Stegostoma tigrinum: one gene and its partner. The protein of the gene in region 2 purifies or fractionates together with the protein of the main gene of each other region. This does not show direct contact. Links are inferred from orthologs where the notes say so. Each region holds a gene or a part of one and is shown on either strand. Other genes may lie near its edges.

Region 1 (10,546 bases), on a different chromosome or scaffold from region 2:
TTAACAGCTTTGTAAGAATCCCACAACCCACATGAAAAACACTTTTTTAAAAAGTACCCTCTGACTGCACCTTTCTGATCCGGTTGACAATAGCTTCAATTCATTTTCCATGAACTGTAAGACATACTTCCACTGACACTCCACACGCTGTTGCTTATCGAAGTATTTTGTTCAGTTTATTTACTGCTGAATCCTCTTCTTTGCCTTTATTACCACAGGATTACTATTATTATTACCTTTATTCCAGTGTTGTCATGGCTAGCTCTCCATTTTGCATTCTCCATTAAACTTGAGCTCATCCTAGCTCACACTAGGCCCCAATCACCCACCATCCTCTGTGTTCCTGCACTTTTGGTCTAGCAACACTTCAGTGTTAAACTTCTCATCCTTGTTCTAGGCCTTACTTCTTGCTATTTTTGTCATCGGTTCTGGCACCAATACCCTCAGAGATCATCCAATTTTGACATCTTGCATGTCTCTGGCTTCTACTGCTCCAGCATCGGTGCCTGTGCCTTCAGTTGTCTACATGGTGAACTGCTGACAGCTCTCCTTAAACCTTCCTCCCTCTCTTCTTTCCTTTAAAATACTCAGTAAAAGTGGCCACTTCGACCTGTCCTAATATCTCCTTCTGATACTTAGCATCAAGTTGTGAACATCCTCAGGATTTTTTGCTGTGCTAAAACACCATTTAAATACAGTTGTTGTTGCTGTTGTCACTGGGCTAAGAATACCAGATTCCAGCCACTCTCTGTGAAATGGGAAAGCCAAAGGACACTCCAACTGAATTGCTTTTTCCTGCTTCAATGTCTCCCGATGATTGTCGAACAGCAGTGTTCATCTCAACAGAACTCTCGACAATGTGTACTGGATTTGGCCATGCAATTGCTGGAAGTGGCTCACAAAAACTGATCCCTGGAGTCCACACAACAACAAAGATGGCATAAAATGCAGTTTATAATCCAACAATTATCAGCACAATTTGTAACAGTTTTTGGGATTTTTCTGCTGCCTTTTAAAGGTTGAGTTTCACCTTCCCCAAGCACTGAAAATAGATGCCTCACTCTGGCACTATATGGCTCAGCTCCACAATTTATATCACATTTACTCACTGACCCATCAGCACAAAAGCACAATTCAGATTGAAAACGATCTTCATGAACAAAGTGAATCCCAGTAAGCAGCATCTATCTCAAAGTTAAGCAATGAGAACTCAATAGATCAATTTGTCAGATGACCTTTGCAAAAAGGGAGTAAACTAGACACAGAAATGGCCAACCACGTAGAGTACAATTGGCTCAAAAACCTTCAGAAATTCTGAATTTACAACTTGGTGACCAAGGAGCAACAAGTCTATATGCCAGAGAAATCTAGCTTCAGAACACATCAGACTGAAACCCAAAGAAAAATTTCCATTTGTAAATTTAAATGAAAATAAAACACTGCAGATACTGGAGATCTGAACTAAAAAGACAAAGTACTGGAGAAACTCAGCTGGTCTGGCAGCATCTGAGGAGACAGAAACAGAGTTAACATTTTGAGTGCAATAGTACTTTTGTCAGGCTGCCATACCTGATGAGTTTCACCAGCATTTTTTGTGTTTCTTCCAATTACACAGTATATATCACAGTTTCAAGATGTTCCGAAATCATTCACAATCACCAAAGTATACTTGAAGTGCTACAATGTTGCACTGTTGCAATGCAGGAAAAATGGTGGCCAACGTGGGCATAGCAAGACCTCACACCAATGCAATAACAACCTTAAGACCATAAGAAACAGGAACAGGAGTAGGCCATTTGGCCCATCAAATCTGCTTCATCTTTCAATAAGATCACAGCTGATCTGACATTCCTCATATCCACTGTCCTACCTTTTCCCCGTAACCCTGCTGATCAAGAATCTATCTACCTCAGCCACACATATACACAATGACTTTGCCCCCAGAGCTCACTGTGGCAAGAAGTTCCAAAGACTCATAATCCTCTGGGAGATGAAATTCCTCTGCATCTCAGTCTTAAATTGGCACATATTTATTCTGAGACAATTCCCTCTGGTCCTAGACTCTCCAATGAGGGGAAACATTGTCTCATCATTTACCATGCTAAGCCACTTAAGCCTGTTTAGCGACTTTGGCAGTGTTGACTTAGACATCAAGACAATGCTCCCTACTCTGCAAAACCGTGCTATGGATGACCTATGCCAAGGGTGGTAGCTCCAACTGTGTGACACCACTGTCAATGTTGTGCTCAAGTCTCTGGAAGTGGGGCACAGACTCGAAAACTTTCTTATGCAGAAGCAAACAACTGGTCCCATTGACTTTCCCTCTCCAACCACGAAATGGAGCATTCACGTTCAGCAATAACAAAACAACTGGAAATCTCAACTCCACTACCCACAAACTTTGAAATACCACACTGCTGTGCTTGCACCGAGCTTTGACGACAGTGGGGACACCTGGAAGTGTTGTATTTTCCAAGAGCAATGAACAGCCTTTGAAAGTTTCAAAGTGCAAAGTGGCACTCTGGGAGTCCAGGGTGGGAGCCAGAAGTGGCTGCCTATCCACAGGGCCATTTAAAAACAACTGTTTTCTAATCAAGAGCTAGTAGGAACTGCCGATGCTTGAGAATCTGAGAGAACAAGGTATAGAGCTGGATGGACACAGCAGATCCTTTGTCAGAAAGGGTCCAGACCCAAAACGTCAGCTTTCCTGCTCCTCTGATGCTGCTTGGCCCGCTGCGTTTATCCAGCTCGACACCTTATTGTCTCTGTTTTCTAATCAACCTGTTCAGCAATGTTATTAAACACCTCTTGAACCAGTGGGTCTTAAAGCCAGGGCTCCAGCTCAGTGTAGGGACATATCACTGTGCCACAACTGACCTTGTAAACTGACTGTTCAGAGAATGCCAATTGCAACATTCTAATGAAAGTCTCAAAAGCAACAATTTGCATGAAACCAGCAGCACTTCGCGAGGCCCAAGTATTCATACATGTAAATAAAAAGGAACTCACATCATCACAGTAACAACCAACTATCAATCCGAGATAGAAATCTGCAAACAAAGTGACGAGTGATCCATTTCATTCAACTCAAACTGCAGGGAATTAAAATTTCAAACCAATTATTTATCAGATATGCTCATCTCCATTTGCATCAAAGTTTTGGTTCTGTAAATGAAACTTTCTTAATGCTAGGAATACCATACCCTCACACTCAGGGAAAGCAGGTCTGGCAGCTCAGCAATATTAGCCTCTCACTTTCAGCTTGTGTTCCAGCAGGCCCGAAATGTCAACTTTCCTGCTCCTCTGATGCTACCTGACCTGCTGTGTTCCTCCAGCTCCACACTGTGTTGACTCTGACTCCAGCTTCGGCAGTTCTTACTATCTCCCATCAACTCTGTCCCATTCCGCCACAACATCTTCCTTGATAACAAAGTGTGAAACTGGATGAACACAGCAGGCCAAGCAGCATCTCAGGAGCACTGAAGGGTCTAGGCCCGATACGTCAGCTTTTGTGTTCCTGAGATGCTGCTTGGCCTGCTGTGTTCATCCAGTTTCACACTTTGTTATCTTGGATTCTCCAGCATCTGCAGTTCCCATTATCTCTGAAAACGTCTTCCTTGACTGTTTTACTCCCCCACCGCCCAGCAGCTCTGACTTCCTACCCGTATTCAGTCCAGCAGTGCATGATGGCAGGGCCCAGAGGCCAGGAAAGTAACTTGGTCCCATTGTGGGGAAGGATGGACAGGAGGCGGGAAGAAGGGTTGGGGGGATGGAAAAAGGAGTTTGTGGGGGTGGACGGAGAGGGGGCAGAGAAGAGTGTGGGGATTGAGGATGGAGAGGGGGAGGAGGGTTGATGACTGAGAAGGATGGTGAGGAGGGGTTAAGAGGTCTGGAGGTGGCAGGAAAGAGGAGACATAGTGGGATAGAAGAGAGGCAAAGGGTTAGGAAGAGGGAGAGATTGTTAAGGGGCCGAGGAGTGACAGGAGAAGGAGGGGTAAAGTGGAAAGTCAGGGGAATAAAGTGGAAGGGTAGTAAGACAGAGATGGAAAAGAATGAGGGAGAAGAGGTGGAGGAAGAGAGGAGGGAGGAGGGAGGGGAGCAATGCAGGACCAGAGGGATGGTATGAGACGTGAGGCAGAGTATATGGAGCAAGGAAGGAGAGTAGAGACAGGGAGATGAAGGTGGGGGTGAGGTGGGTGGGGGGGCAGGTGGTAATGGGGATGTGAGGGAGGAAGGGAAAGATTGCTGGAGGCTGCAAAATGGAGTGGGGAGAGAGGAAAAGGAGGCAGGTTGGTGAGGAAATTGGAGAGAAAGGAGGCTGAGGGCAGGGTTCTGAGGGATGAGCGAGGAAGAAAGTGAAGGAAATGGAGTAGGAGGGGAGGGAGTCGTTGGACAGAAGAAGAATGAATGGGGAGAGGGGAATGGGGCCCAAAGGTTCCAGAACCCAGTGAAAACGGAGAGAAAGCTCCCAGCCAGCACAAAAGTAGGAGGAAAGGAGGTTGGGATCCGTTATCAATGGGGGCTATCCAACTGCTAACGTATTTACAAATGTCCTTTCCCCAGACATCGCCCTGTCCCTCATCAGCGAATTGTTCGGTTTTCCCTGGGATCTGGGTGACCTGTGAACTACCAGACCCAGCTCCTCCTCGGCCATGTCCCAACAACCACGACAACAACAAAAACCCTTCATCACAACATCCTCGCACTGCCGGCACTTTCAAATCCCTTTGGAATCTTTATCTCCAACCAAGGGAAAAAAAAGTTGTGAAAGATTGCTGCAAACTTCCCCTTCACATCGCTGCACAGAAAGCGGCGATCCACCTCAACAGGATACCTGGACAAACACTGCACCGGGATGGGGAGGGGGGGTGTACATACAGCAATATTGGGGAGGAAGGGAATAGATATAATAAATTGATTTGAACGAGGAAATCTCCTCCCACTCCAAAACAAAAAAAAAATTCCAAAGCATTCCAGTGAAATCTGCACTGCAGGAGTTTAAACATTCTGGTATTTCGCGTGTGCTCCCCGGTGTATTAAAGTTGGTGGGAGCACTCAGGGAGTCGGGTAAACTATTGGGGGGATGAGAAGGGTGTATAAGACAAGCTCCCGTTGTCCGGAGCAGGCTGCTCTGGTCCGGACTCACAGCCAAATGCCTCGCTGCTGTTAGCAAGCGCTGGAACCCGTTCCCTTCTCCTCCCGTGTTGCAAACTGTCCTCCTACCTGTCGCGGGGATCGATCCAGCTGGTCTGCTTGGTGTTGTGGTCAATGTAGAAGACTTTACCGTCGTAATCTCTCGCTTCTTCCCAACCATCCGGCAAAGGGAGCTCTCCATTGCCTTTCCTATGCATGTTGTAGTGTTGTAACACCCTCCATAAGTCCGGGCAGGAGGAAGGAAGGAAGGGAGGGAGGTGGGGGGCTGCGGGAATGTTTTCTTTAATATGCCCCCCCCAGAAAAAAGAAGCCTCTCTGCGATCATTTACATCCTTATAACGATCTGGTCCTCCATCTTAACTCCATCCAGGAATCCCCCCCCAACACACACCCACGAGAGAGAGAGAGAGAGAGACAGAAAACAGCTTCGGCTGTCGCTTGGATTAGCGTCTATTTCATTTGCATACAAATTCCTCCCCTCAAGATCTTATCAAATATTAATACTGCCGGCGCACAGCCGCCAAATACAACTTCCTCCGACAAGACACATTTCAGATGTGCCAGCCCATTTGATTATGTTCAGCCCTTGCCTGTTTTTTTTTCCTAAATCTGTGCCTGCGAGAGAACTATTTTATTTCTCTTTTGTTTTTGCTTGAGTTCTGTAAATGAAGCTGAAGGGAGGGAATGCACCTTTGTATTCCACCATCCCCCCTCCACCTCCAACCACTGGTCTGAGGCAATCCTAAAACTGAACCGCTTTGCCGATATGTATAGCCATTACTAATGTATTTCCCCCTCCCTTTAAAGCATCCAGCATGAAGCAGCGTGAGTTCAGAAACACAACTAGAGGCCAGGGTCCGAGGCCAACTACTCCAGACTTATCTGACCTGGGTATTTTGTCAATATGTCAGAAGGTTACAGGACCATAAGAGAGACCGGGAAAGGAGGAGTTAGCAATATTGTTAAAATTCACATTTATAGTCAAGGTGAGTCAATAGCAGCATCTGTAAGAACATAAAATAAACAGTTGGAGTTCTGCTTACTTGCTGCTGGTTGTATTACTCCGATTCTGCTGGAATTGGCTGAATCGGCCCAAATGCTGAGGTAATATTATACATTGGGTGAACCAGCAAGAATGTGGAAAGCGACAGAATGGATGGATTTGGTCCATGAATCCCAAAATGTTAACATCAATGTTCAGCACGCAGTAGGGAAGTCACATGCCTTTACCTCAAAGGGGATGGAGAATAAACAAAAGGGAGGTCTTGCCAAAACTACAGAAGTTCGACCACAGTTGAAGTACTGTGAACAATTTTAGGCCCCTTCTCTCAGGCATTGGAAGCAGTTCAACAAAGGTTCACTAGGCGAATGCAAGGAGGGCCTCAAGGCCCTCCGCTGCTTCCCGTCCCGCAGGCCCGACCAGTTCCCCTCCACCGACACTCTCATCCACCTAGCTGAACTCGTCCTCACACTCAACAACTTCTCTTTTGACTCCTCCCACTTCCTACAGACTAAGGGGGTGGCCATGGGCACCCGCATGGGCCCCAGCTATGCCTGCCTCTTTGTAGGTTACGTGGAACAGTCCCTCTTCCGCACCTACACAGGCCCCAAACCCCACCTCTTCCTCCGGTACATTGATGACTGTATCGGCGCCACATCTTGCTCCCCAGAGGAGCTCGAACAGTTCATCCACTTCACCAACACCTTCCACCCTAACCTTCAGTTCACCTGGGCCATCTCCAGCACATCCCTCACCTTCCTGGACCTCTCAGTCTCCATCTCAGGCAACCAGCTTGTAACTGATGTCCATTTCAAGCCCACCGACTCCCACAGCTACCTAGAATACACCTCCTCCCACCCACCCTCCTGCAAAAATTCCATGCCCTATTCCCAATTCCTCCGCCTCCGCCACATCTGCTCCCACGATAAGACATTCCACTCCCACACATCCCAGATGTCCAAGTTCTTTAAGGACCGCAACTTTCCCCCCACAGTGATCGAGAATGCCCTTGACCGCGTCTCCCGTATTTCCCGCAACACATCCCTCACACCCCGCCGCCGCCACAACCGCCCAAAGAGGATCCCCCTCGTTCTCACACACCACCCTACCAACCTCCGGATACAACGCATCATCCTCCGACACTTCCGCCATTTACAATCCGACCCCACCACCCAAGATATTTTTCCATCTCCTCCCCTGTCTGCTTTCCAGAGAGACCACTCTCTCCGTGACTCCCTTGTTCGCTCCACACTGCCCTCCAACCCCACCACACCCGGCACCTTCCCCTGCAACCGCAGGAAATGCTACACTTGTCCCCACACCTCCTCCCTCACCCCTATCACAGGCCCCAAGATGACATTCCACATTAAGCAGAGGTTCACCTGCACATCTGCCAATGTGGTAGACTGCATCCACTGTACCCGGTGCGGCCTCCTCTACATTGGGGAAACCAAGCGGAGGCTTGGGGACCGCTTTGCAGAACACCTCCGCTCAGTTCGCAACAAACAACTGCACCTCCCAGTCGCAAACCATTTCCACTCCCCCTCCCATTCTCTAGATGACATGTCCATCATGGGCCTCCTGCACTGCCACAATGATGCCACCCGAAGGTTGCAGGAACAGCAACTCATATTCCGCCTGGGAACCCTGCAGCCATATGGTATCAATGTGGACTTCACCAGTTTCAAAATCTCCCCTTCCCCTACTGCATCCCTAAACCAGCCTAGTTCGTCCCCTCCCCCCACTGCACCACACAACCAGCCCAACTCTTCCCCCCCACCCACTGCATCCCAAAACCAGTCCAACCTGTCTCTGCCTCCCTAACCGGTTCTTCCTCTCACCCATCCCTTCCTCCCACCCCAAGCCGCACCCCCAGCTACCTACTAACCTCATCCCACCTCCTTGACCTGTCCGTCTTCCCTGGACTGACCTATCCCCTCCTTACCTCCCCACCTATACTCTCTCCACCTATCTTCTTTAGTCTCCATCTTCGGTCCGCCTCCCCCTCTCTCCCTATTTATTCCACCTCCTCTCCCCATCCCCCTCTCTGATGAAGGGTCTAGGCCCGAAACGTCAGCTTTTGTGCTCCTGAGATGCTGCTTGGCCTGCTGTGTTCATCCAGCCTCACATTTTATTATCTTGGAATTCTCCAGCATCTGCAGTTCCCATTATCTCGAATGCAAGGAGGGACTGTCTTATGATGAGAGGTTGTGTAGATTGGGCCTGGACTTGTTGGAATATAAAAGAATGGGAGGTGAGCTTATTGAAACATACAATATTTTTATAGGACTTGACAGAGAAGATGCAGAAAGGTTGTAAAATGTGAGGCTGGATGAACACAGCAGGCCAAGCAGCATCTCAGAAGCACAGCTTTTGTGCTCCTGAGATGCTGCTTGGCCTGCTGTGTTCATCCAGCCTCACATTTTATTATCTTGGATCCTCCAGCATCTGCAGTTCCCATTATCTCTATCGCAGAAAGGTGTTTCCACTTGTGGGAGAGTCTTCCACTATAGGGCGTAATCTCAGAATAAGGGTTCACATATTTAAGGTAGAGATGAGGAAGAATTTCTTCCCTCAGAAAGTGGGGAATCTGTAGATTTATTTATCACAAAAGGCTAGTGAGGCTGGTTCATTCAGTGTATTTTTAATCAGTAAGAGAATCAACGGTTATGGGAAAAAGACAGGAGAATAGAGGAGATTTATCAGACCATGAACATGTTGAGTTGCAGCGCAGATTGGATGGGCTGAATGGCCTACTTCTGTTCTGATGTCTTATGCGTTTCTGGTCAAAACTATCTACATTAATGCTTTGATAACAAACTGTGGAGCTGGATGAACACAGCAGGCTAAGCAATATCTTAGGAGCACAGAAGCTGATGTTTCGGGTCTCGCCCCTTCATCAGAAAAGGGGGATCGGGAAAGGGTTCTGAAATAAATAGGGAGAGAGGGGGAGGCGGATCGAAGGTGAATAGAGGAGAAGATAGGTAGAGAGAACACAGACAAGTTAAAGGGGCGGGGATGGAGCCAGTAGAGGTGGGTGTAGGTGGGGAGGTAGGGAGGGGATAGGTCAGTCTGAGGAGGACAGACTGGCCAAGGGGGTGGGATGAGGTTAGTAGGGAGGAAATGGAGGTGTGACTTGAGATAGGAGGAGGGGATAGGAGAGAGGAAGAACAAGTTAGGGAGGCGGGGACGAGCTGGGCTGGTCTTGGGATGCATTGTGGGGAGGGGAAATTTTGAAGCTTATGAAATCCACATTGATACCATTGGGCTGCAGGGTTCCCAAGCGGAATATGAGTTGCTATTCCTGCAACCTTCGGATGGCATCATTGTGGCACTGCAGGAGGCCCAGGATGGACATGTCATCAAAAGAATGGGAGGGGGAGTTGAAATGGTTCGCGACTGGGAGGTGCAGTTGTTTATTGCGAACTGAGTGGAGGTGTTCTGCAAAGCGGTCCCCAAGCCTCTGCTTGGTTTCCCCGATGTAGAGGTGGCCACACCGGGTACAGTGGATGCAGTATATCACATTGGCAGATGTGCAGGTGAACATCTGCTTAATGTGGAAAGTCATCTTGGGGCCTGGGATGTGGGTGAGGGAGGAGGTGTGGGGGCAAGTGTAGCACTTCCTGTCCCGAGACATCAAGGGGTGGAGAGGTTGAGGCAGTTGATGTCTCGGGACACCACCCCCAGGCCTCCTACCCTCCCTCAACCTCTTCATCTCCAACTGCCATCGAGACATCAACCGCCTGAACGTCTCCACCCCTCTCACCCACTCCAACCTCTTCCCTGCAGAACGTGCAGCCCTCCGCTCCAATCCCAACCTCACCATCAAACCCGCAGACAAGGGAGGCGCAGCTGTAGTATGGCGCACTGACCTTTACATCGCTGAGGCCAGACGCCAACTCTCCGATAGCTCCTCCTACCACCCCTGGATCATGACCCCATACCCGAGCGCCTAACCATCATCTCCCAAACCATCCACAACCTCATCACCTCAGGTGACCTCCCGCCCACAGCTTCCAACCTCATTGTTCTCCAACGCCGCATGGCCCGTTTCTATCTCCTTCCCAAAATCCACAGACCTGCCTGCCCTGGTCGACCCATTGTCTCAGCCTGTTCCTGCCCCACCGAACTCATCTCCACCTATCTGGACTCCATTTTCTCCCCCGTGGTCCAGGTACTCCAACCTACGTCTGTGACACCACCCACGACTTCCACCTCCTCCAGAACTTCCAATTCCCTGGTCCTCAACACCTCATTTTCACCATGGACATCCACTCCCTACACACCTGCATTTCCCATGCAGATGGCCAAAAGGCCCTCTGCTTCTTCGTATCCTGCAGTCCTGACCAGTCCCCCTCCACCGACACCATCATCCACCTAGCCGAACTCGTC
Region 2 (10,546 bases):
AGTAAGGGCCTGGGTATGGGTGGGATGTTTTTTGGAGAGTCAGTGCCAAATTGATGGGCCAAACAGCCTCTTCTGCATGATAGGGGTTCTATGATCCTATGAAAAGAAAAGGCTCTTTCTAGAATATGCACTGATGGAAGACATAACATTTAAAATGTACACAGGAAATTCTAAAATGTTCTATTTTTGGTCAAAGACCTACTCAAACGAACAGCAATGACACCTTTGTAAAAGATATTTTCTAATCAGTAGAGATTACATTCTGAAGTTATTCTGAGAAGAATTTGTGATTAGTAAGGAATTTAATTATGGTATAAGCACAGAAACGATGCACGATGTTGCAAAGGTTAGCATGGCTCAGAAGGCTGGGACAATTTTAGAAACCTGCAAAGGATGACTAAAAATTGAGATGGAGAAATTAGAGTATGAGAGAAAACCACAAGAAATATAAAAACTGACCATAAAAGCTTCAATTACATAAAGAAAGGAAAAAGTAGCTTAAGCAAGTGTTGGTCCCTTAAAGCAGAGATTAGAAAATTAATAACAGGACCAGCGTTGTTGAAGGTACACTTGTAGTGGTGAAAACAAGCATCTGGCTTCATGTAGCACTGGCTGGTTTTTATAACTGTTAAAACAAGCAGGCACTGTATTACTTTCAAATCAGCAATCTGCTTTGGTGAATATAACATGGACTGTCAATAGGATGAGTACATACTTCATTTAGTCATTCTTCTAGGACAACATCAGATGATATAAAGAAAGAACTCGTTGACCACTTCCACGTATGATGGGTCTGCCATCCAGAGATCTACATGGGCATTCTGGAGTTCAGTTGATCAGGTGATTGACCAACTACTGAACCATCACTTTTGGTAATATTGCTGGCAGAAGCAGAACAGAAGCAATTACAGTAAATAAAGTAAATCTACAAAAAAAAACTTGCACTCAATCTTAAACTGCCTAATAACGGAGAAAGAATACTATAATTTCATAAGTTTTACAATTCATACATAAATCCATTGTTACCGTAAACATTTGAAAAATAAGTCTAAATTTGTTTCAAATTTAGTATTTTAATCATTTGCATACTTTATTTTTGTGCACGATTATTTCGCAGAAAGGCAAGTTTGTATTTTTTCTATTACATTGTTCTGGAGTTTAATTTCAAACAATGTGCAGAATAAAACCAGTCAGTTTAATAGAGTGAATCAGCATCAATTGGTTTTGAAATGAATACATTAATGCTCATTTTATTAAAAGTTTAAAATAAAATTGTAATCCTGACATTTCAAAAGGATGGAATGGAATTGGTTTGGATCTGAAATTGCTAAACAGGATTTACTTGCATGCAACTAAAACAGCAAAATCAGTTGCAATAAACATCACTTGTAAATGTGACTTGCCACCTGCAAGTTAAATAGTGCTTCTAAAACAAATAGGTTGCCACAGAGCCAAAAGGGACCTCTGCTTTCTCATGAAAACAAATAAATTTCAAAATTCACAGGCAAGTGTCGGCTCTCAGTCAATCACTACATACAGAAAATGAATAGGCATGTGCACCAAAGTTGTGAAAAAAGTGCCTACTAATCATATGTAAAATCCCAAAAGGGTGTAGAAACAGAGTTTTTTTTAAAATAAAAATTAACTTCATCACTCTGTAATTCAGTGTGAATTACTATCATCTGACTTTTGTCCAATCATTCCCTAGAACTGACCTATGTGAGGCAATTACAACCTGAAAACAGAGTCTAAAATTGTGTCAGCATCTACACAATTTCACAACACAGCCAAGACAGATGCTGCAGTCCACAATAACATTGAAAATCCAGCTTGCAAAGCAATGGCTGCATTCAAAACAAAAGGCAATGTCAATGATATTATTCTGCGCTAAAATTTTCATCAGAATATTTAAATTGACTATGGTGGATATTGGAAACCAGCACATGAGACAGTCTTCTGTTTACTCAAATATTTAGACAAGTGATTTACAAAGGCTGGCAGCACCCTTTTTGCCCACACCTGGGCAATGCAAATTTGCCACCTTCTTTCATCAACACAGAAAGTGCTGTCAGTCTTGATTCAAATCAAGCACAAACAAATAAAAATATTGGAAACAAAAAGCCAAATTTCTGCCAGCAATTCAAAGCAGGAATGACTTAAAAACAGGCTCTGGATTGAAGTCCAGAGTTTAGGGCTTTTCAAGCAAAGGCATAGTTACCAAAAAAATCAATTCGAATCAGAAATTCTCAAAAAAGGCAAGAATTAGTATATTAGAGAACTGAGGGTCTCAAAATGTTGTAGGATGCAGGGAGAAGAAATTTTATTTTGAGTTTTGGCTCATTTCTATTACCATTTTTACGTGGGTCTTATCACATTTGTTCTTTGTGGGAGATTGCTGGATGCAAAGTGCCTGCTAGGTTCACTACACTGCAACAGTGACTGCACTTTAAACATACTTTGTTCATTTTAAGGCAGTTTGAGGTGCACAGATCACGAAAGTTGCCGGACAAATCCAAGTTCATTTTTTTAAAAACAGTTGTTGAAGGGCATCACACCCGATACACACAAAACAAATGTGCATGTAAATATAATTTCAGAAAAGTTAATTGGCATTTTACTGAACTGTCAATAGATCACAAAACTGTATTCAATTGTTCTAAACAAAATCAAATAAAATTCGCATTGTGATTAGGCACTTTGGACAGGGCTGGCTTCACTGGAGGAACACCACCACGTAACAATTTAAAAAGACCTGCCAATGCCTTATCAAGACATCTAGAATTCAGTAATAAATGTAGAACCAGTTAACATCATCTGAAGAACTTGCATTTTTAAATCAACAGAAAGTCCTGGAGAAACTTAGGCCTGGCAGCACCTGTAGAGAGAGAAACAGAGTTAACAATTTGAGCACAATATAACTCTTCAGGGCAGAAGAGTTCGGAAGAAAAGCCGTGGGGCTTAAATTGTTGACTCCTTCTCACTCCACAGATGCTGCTAAACTTGCTAACTTTCTCCAACACATTTTTTAAATTAGTTCAGATCTCCAGCATCCACAGTATATTGCTTTTATTTTCATTTTTATCATGCCTTTCACGACCTTAGAACATCCCAAAACTCTGCAATGTCAATTACATGCTTTTCAAATTTTAATCATTTTTGTAATATCGAAAATCTAGCAGACGCTTCGAAAATAAGGTCTTCTTTGAACTGTACCATGGGATTTTTTGCAACTGCCCAACAGGTAGACACAGCATCACCGTGAAACCCATCAAAAGGAGATTGCAGCTGAGTGCAACTTTTATTTTAAAATATCCATTCACAGGATACAGTCTGGCAAGGCCAGCATTTATTACCTCATCAATAGTCCATAAGCAGGTGGTAGTGAGCTGCCTTGTTAATCCACTGCAGTCCATATGGTGTAGATATGCCCACAGTATTGTTAAGGGGGGAGCATTGGGATTATGACTCAGCAATGAGAAAGTAACAGAGGGACACAGCATGACTAGGGACTCACATCTGTGTGGTCTCTAATGCCGACTGGCAGTTGTATTAGTGATGGGCTACAAACTGACTTTGTACACAATTTCAGTTGCAGGCATGAGATTAGGTGAAAATACGTTAAATAAAAATCTGAAAATTGAGGAAATATTTATATATTCAAATTGGTTAAAAAGGATTACATTGAACATTCATTTTTTCAAAATAAAATTAAAAGAATGACATGCAATGATATTGTGCTTTCCATGTGCAGTAGACATCTCAGCGATTTACAGCAATGAAGTACATTTGCAGTGTAGTCACCATTGTAATGCAGCCAACTTACAGTAATATATTTCTGTCAAATGTTTTGGATCCCTTAGACTTTAAACGAAAGCCAAGAAGAGCTGAAGATATTGGGTTCTGGTTTTGAACAGTGAACATTAATCAAAGCTAAGGTCATCCAACAGCGTGGTAAACATAACCTGATATCATAACAGGTTTATTTAAGAGGTAGTGTTATCTCCACACTTCTGTAACAAACATAATTCCAATATATAAACAATAATCAGATTGTCCATTATTCCTGATTTTATTGCTTCAGTCCAAAATTCCTATTGCTTTTCATAGCAGAGTTACCATAGTGCAAGTCTAGGATTCATTAAACTGCTGGATCTTCTTGAAAAATGTGACAACATTAATGCAAGGTTGATTTCGTCTGGTGTTTATGCCACAGATTTCCCCCAAATTTGAACTCCAGCATACCTATAGGTCATATGCTTCAAAACTGCGAGTTTATAGTTGATTAGTCCATAATGTGGATCAGTGACAAATGGGAATTCAGATCAGATTGTTTACACTGCTGTAACTAAATGTTGTCAAATTTAGTCTGCTCGAAGAGGCACATTGAAAATATGTAAAATTTAATAAATATGAAAATATAGTTGGAGGCTTCATTCAAAACTTTATACAAATATTCCAATTTTTTACACAAGTGTTAATATTAAATGGTAAAACTGCAAATTCTATTGCAAGATGCGTTCACTAAGTGAACTGTCTTCTCAAAGTCAACACCATCTTTTGTTTCCAATACGGTACTTCAATCAGAAAACAGAATCGCAACAATGCAGAAGCCAACTTGGAACAAAAAGCCATATTTTGACAAATTTGAGCAACGATCCAACGTCAAAATTCAAGTAATGCACTTAAAAATCATATTCTTATTTAAAATTTTGCTTTCATATTTTGAGAATTCATCTGAACAATGCAATTCCTTATGATTAAGTAAAAGAAATTAACCCTTGTCTCCCACACAAAGAGTCATCGCCTTCATCTATCAGTTTACACTACAGTCTGGAAACTTTTGCAAAGCGTTTATTCCAGTAAAGCATCTTTTAAGTGTGGAATTTCGGCAGAGATGGCATTTTCACAATTATTTCATTAGTCAGCCTAGCCACCGAAACGCGAGACGGTCTCTTTAAATATACTGCAACAAAGTACAGGCTGAAGTTAGCCTCCTTGGAGGGCGGGCCATAGATTTCTGTTATAGGAATTGTATTGTGAAGAGTTGAATCTAAACAAATACTCGCTGTCATACCTTGGCTTGGACCTTCCCCTCACCATCAAGGCGGTTGGAAAAAAAGGGGGCTGTCGAGGAATGCTGGCATTTGAGCCGGAGAGTAAGGCAGACAACCTCCCTTTAATCGGCATGTCTGACTTACTCCTACAAACCACTCAAGGACAAGTAGAAATCTTGGATCAAAAGGCTATGCTTCTCTGGTATATCTATCTTTCTATAGTCAATCAAATAGGCAAGCTCTTGGACTTAGGATCTCCAGTTCCCTTACCTGTTTACATGTCTTTATTGTGTCTGATCAGTCCATTAAAACCACAAACTGCACGCGTCCCTTCAAACTTTCCAACGTGTTTTCTTCCTTTCTTGTTTGGGGAGTTGGGGGGGGGGGGAGGAGAAAAGTTTCCACAAGCAGAAACTAGCACAAAAATCCCTTTCTGGATAAAGGATCCACTCGTCTAAAGGACCGCGGGACCAGGGTCCGTCTGCTCACCAGAAGTGTTTGAAGTTACACGGAGAGCCCTACCTCATCCGCTCAAGAACTACTTTTGTTTGGTGAAACTTTCTTTCTGCCCACTTTCTTGTTTGCTATTCTGAACTCTTCAGCAGCTGCCAGCGGTCCGAGAGCCTTTGTGATCGCCAAGTTGTTTTGTTTTAACCTCCCTCCTTTCTTTTTTCCTAGTCGTCCCCTTGCAGCCGAGACTATTTTCGATTAAATAACATGGTCACAGTTTGTGGGTTTGGAAAAAAAGATCTGCGCCTCGTGACATCAGAAATGTGGAATGTGAGGAATGTGAGCTGATGAAGGGCTGAGATGTCGTTGCTTCTTAATGGTCACACACCGAAAACACACCCAGGCAACGTCGATTTAAAGCTGTACTGCAACACTTTAGCTATGTAATCGATTTGGTTACTTTGCCCATGCAATATTTTAGCGTAATCGGTTGGGGGATTGCTCTCTTAACAGTGTGCTGCACGATTCCTCTTGGCCGGATTAAAATCAACATTGCGCTCTTTATACATTAAAAGTACACTGCATTGAACACCTACCAGGTAATGAATTCTTGCAGCAATGCATTTTCTTTCATTGGGAATTCACACAGTTCGTTAACCGAGCTGTGGGATTGTTATGCTATGTGGATATACCACTGAACGATGACACTTACTTGTTCAGACCAGCTCACGAGCGACACCATGTGGGTGATGCTGGACTTTAAAGGCGTTGACTTTAAGCTTGCATTTATATAGCTCCAGACTTCCGATGGCTGAAGGACTGCATGACCAAGTAGATCCACCTACATATTTCTTCTCTTTTTGACTCAACTCGCCTTAGCCCTAAAAACAAAGCCATCAATATTATTTGAGATAATGGGAACTGCAGATGCTGGAGAATTCCAAGATGATAAAATGTGAGGCTGGATGAATACAGCAGGCCAAACAGCATCTCAGGAGCACAAAAGCTGACGTTTCGGGCCTAGACCCTTCATCAGATGATAGGCCCGAAACGTCAGCTTTTGTGCTCCTGAGATGCTGCTTGGCCTGCTGTGTTCATTCAGCCTCACATTTTACCATCAATATTATTTAATCTTTCTTACTTCCATGCTTTAAATCTCAGTCAGTACTCATTCTATTTGAATGCCTATTTTACAATCCTGAGTTCCAATTTAGCTAAGCTCATCCAGAAGGCTTCCCATGAAAAATATTCCAATTGAAACATTGAAAACATTTTAAATTTGAATAACTCCTCCAGTGTAATCGCAGTGCACTAAATTGAAAGTGTTATCGCATAAAATTTGGCACTAAGGAATGCATTGATACATTTAGACAACTGACGAAAATCTTTATCCTAGTGGGAGATTGGAGGGGATTTTAAAGAAAGGGAAAAACAAAGATTTTTTGGGAGGTTAGGGCTCAGCTACCTGAAGGTATGACTGATGAAAATTGAGAGTGTGCAAGTAGTGAGAATTGGAGATGTACAGGTATACAGATCTCAGAGAGTCATATGTTTGAAGAATTTTTGGAAATAAAGGGAGCAAAACCATGAATGGATTTGAAAATAGTGGTGAGAAAACTAAAATTGGGCTCTTTCCATGTCAGAAACCAATGTTGTTCACTAACCACAAGTGTGACAGGAGAATGCGATATGCTGTCTGTTGGGATAGTATCCTCTCCCCATCCCCTTTTTCTGATGAAAGGTCTAGGCCCGAAACGTCAGCTTTTGTGCTCCTGAGATGCTGCTTGGCCTGCTGTGTTCATTCAGCCTCACATTTTACCATCAATATTATTTAATCTTTCTTACTTCCATGCTTTAAATCTCAGTCAGTACTCATTCTATTTGAATGCCTATTTTACAATCCTGAGTTCCAATTTAGCTAAGCTCATCCAGAAGGCTTCCCATGAAAAATATTCCAATTGAAACATTGAAAACATTTTAAATTTGAATAACTCCTCCAGTGTAATCGCAGTGCACTAAATTGAAAGTGTTATCGCATAAAATTTGGCACTAAGGAATGCATTGATACATTTAGACAACTGACGAAAATCTTTATCCTAGTGGGAGATTGGAGGGGATTTTAAAGAAAGGGAAAAACAAAGATTTTTTGGGAGGTTAGGGCTCAGCTACCTGAAGGTATGACTGATGAAAATTGAGAGTGTGCAAGTAGTGAGAATTGGAGATGTACAGGTATACAGATCTCAGAGAGTCATATGTTTGAAGAATTTTTGGAAATAAAGGGAGCAAAACCATGAATGGATTTGAAAATAGTGGTGAGAAAACTAAAATTGGGCTCTTTCCATGTCAGAAACCAATGTTGTTCACTAACCACAAGTGTGACAGGAGAATGCGATATGCTGTCTGTTGGGATAGTATCCTCTCCCCATCCCCTTTTTCTGATGAAAGGTCTAGGCCCGAAACGTCAGCTTATGTGCACCTAAGATGCTGCTTGGCCTGCTGTGTTCATCCAGCCCCACACTTTGTTACCCTGAGTCTTCAGCCAACTGTTTTGTAGGGACAATGTGCAGGACTCCATATTTCTGACTCTGGTTTACTTTGTCACTTTCTGTCCACATCTCAATCAACAATAGTAGAGCCATTACCTCAGCACTTTGGAATTCACTTCTCAATGTCTTTGCTTTTGTACTTTACACACTACCTTTGAAGGCCCTGATAAGTTTGATTGTTGATGCTTTAAATTGTCTTCTTTAATTTCTCCTCTATTTCTCTATGTTGTGGTAAACAGTTTAGGATATTATATGAGCCACTGCCAACACCAATAAAAGGGGCAGATAAGTGCTGGAAATACTTTTGATAAAGAAGGGGGTGGGTATTCATTGCTGTATAGGATTTATGAAAAAAAACCTCCATAAACATGAATTTACATTTCATGAAATTATTTTCTGAAGGAGGAAATCACAGGGCCCTGACCCAATTTTTTACTCCCTCTTTGGCCATAGAAGTGCCTGAGGACTGGAAGACAGCTCATTCACCTGTCAAGAATAGTACAGCAATAGAACAGTGAAGTGCTCATGAGCAAGCGTCACATCAACGATAGGGAAACTTTTGAGAAAATTCTGAAGAAAAAAGATTAATCTCCAGTTAGAGAGCAAGGTTTGCTCAGGGGTAGTCAGCATGGTTTTGTCAGAAGAGGTCATGCTGAACAAATGTAACTGAACTTTTTGATGAGCTGCCCAAGTATGTAAATGAGTGTAGTGCTGTTGATATAATTAACATAAATTCCAGTTAAGACTTTCAACGAGGTTCCACATGGGAGACTGATAAAGAGGGTAACTTAGCAAGTTGGTTCCAAAATTGGATTAAGTGTCAGGAGAGAGAGTGTGTTGGGAGAAGACTGTTTATGTGACTGGAGGCCAGTGTCCACTGATGTACCAAGGGATTGGGGCTGGGTCCCCTCTTGATTTTTGATTTTATATATATATATAAATGATGTAAATGAAAATGTCAGAGAAGATGATAAGTAAGTTTGCAGATGACGTAAAAATTGACCAGGTGGTTGACAATGAGGTAGAAGGTCTTGAGCTTTGGGAGGATATAGACAGTTTAGTCAAATCTGTGGCAGATAGAATTTAACCCTGATATGTGTGTGGTGTTGCACATTAAAATAAGTGACAAGACACAAAGCACTGAAGGAAACTCATAAGAAACAGAGGGATCTTGGGATGCTTGAACACAGATCCTTGAAGTTGGCAGAGCAGGTTAATAGGGTAATTAAGAAGGCAATAGGGACACTTGCCTTTATTGGGGCAGCACGGTGGCTCAGTAGTTAGCACTGCTGCCTCACAGTGCCAGGGACCAAGGTTCGATTCCAGCCTCAGGTGACTGCCTGTGTGGAGTTTGCACATTCTCCCCGTGTCTGCATGGGTTTCCTTCGGGTGCTCCAGTTTTCTCCGACAGTCCAAAATGTCCTAGTGCAGGCTAGATGGATGGGCCATGATGAGTTGTCCATAGTGTTCAGGGATGTGTTAGGTGGGTTATAAGGGGATGGGTCTGGGTTGGATGCTCTAAGGTTCAGTGTGGACTTGTTGGGCAGAAGGGCCTGTTTCCATACTGAAGAGATAAATATGATCTGTGATAAGTCAAGACATAGATGTAGAATTGTTGAAGTTCATCCATGTGTTCTCTAAATGTCTGCCATTGTCTATCCACCATCAACCTGTTAAGTACCCTTGCCTAGTTTATCCTAGCCAATACATGCCTCATACCATCAAAGTTAGCTTTCTTTAACTTGAGGACCCTAGACTCAGATTTAACTGTGTCACTCTCCATATTAATGAAGAATTCTACCATATTATAGCTAATCTTCCCAAAAGGATGTTGTACGACAATGTTGCTAATTAATCCTCTTTCATTACACAATACCCAGTCTAAGATGGCTCTCTATCTCATTGGTTCCTTGACATGTTGGTCATACATTCTAGGAAATCCTCCTCCATCACATTACTATCAGTTTGGTTAGCCTAATCTATATGTAGATTGAAGTCACCCATAATAACTGCTGTACCCTGACAGCATTCTTGGACCCCAGGAGCTCATAGCAGATATTGCTGATTAAGTTGAAGGAAATAAATATTTGTAAGCTTGCAGACAACACAAAGCGGGGTGGACGGTGAGATGTTTCACAGTGATTAGGACAGGTTGTGATTGGGTGACTTACAAACTTCTCTTGAAGAAAGGATTCACTGTAGTTACTGATGTAAGTAGTGTGAATTTCCATACGAATTTTCAGATAAATACATTTACTGAGGGATCTGCAAAGGCCCTGAGTAAATCCCAGTGAAATGTTACTGTATCACAGTTATAGTGGACGATCAGTAAAACTCTCAGAAGTTCAACCTCTATATTCCTTTATATTCTTTTCTGTATTCTTGACCTTTTTTGCTAGTGGTACACTTGACAGCATTTAATAGCACACAAAAATACATCTTGTATGTTATTTTATAATTTACATTTTATTCAATCGCTTGTAGGACTTAGGTAAC

What was found.
Region 1: the proteins of tyrosine-protein phosphatase non-receptor type 14-like (region 2) and protein WWC2-like purify together in Homo sapiens (affinity purification with mass spectrometry, with the first as the bait; 3 studies listed by BioGRID). This does not show direct contact. The link is inferred for Stegostoma tigrinum from reciprocal best matches to the Homo sapiens genes PTPN14 and WWC2.

What each region holds. Positions count from the first base shown.
Region 1 is NC_081356.1:115,415,145-115,425,690, forward strand, and holds the start of protein WWC2-like, read right to left. Parts: upstream 5,606-10,546; 5' UTR 5,352-5,605; coding exon 5,224-5,351; intron 1-5,223. UniProt on the Homo sapiens protein: Regulator of the Hippo signaling pathway, also known as the Salvador-Warts-Hippo (SWH) pathway.
Region 2 is NC_081362.1:57,057,770-57,068,315, forward strand, and holds the start of tyrosine-protein phosphatase non-receptor type 14-like, read right to left. Parts: upstream 5,878-10,546; 5' UTR 5,577-5,877; exon of another isoform or gene 5,325-5,576; intron 878-5,324; exon of another isoform or gene 716-877; intron 1-715. UniProt on the Homo sapiens protein: Protein tyrosine phosphatase which may play a role in the regulation of lymphangiogenesis, cell-cell adhesion, cell-matrix adhesion, cell migration, cell growth and also regulates TGF-beta gene expression, thereby modulating epithelial-mesenchymal transition.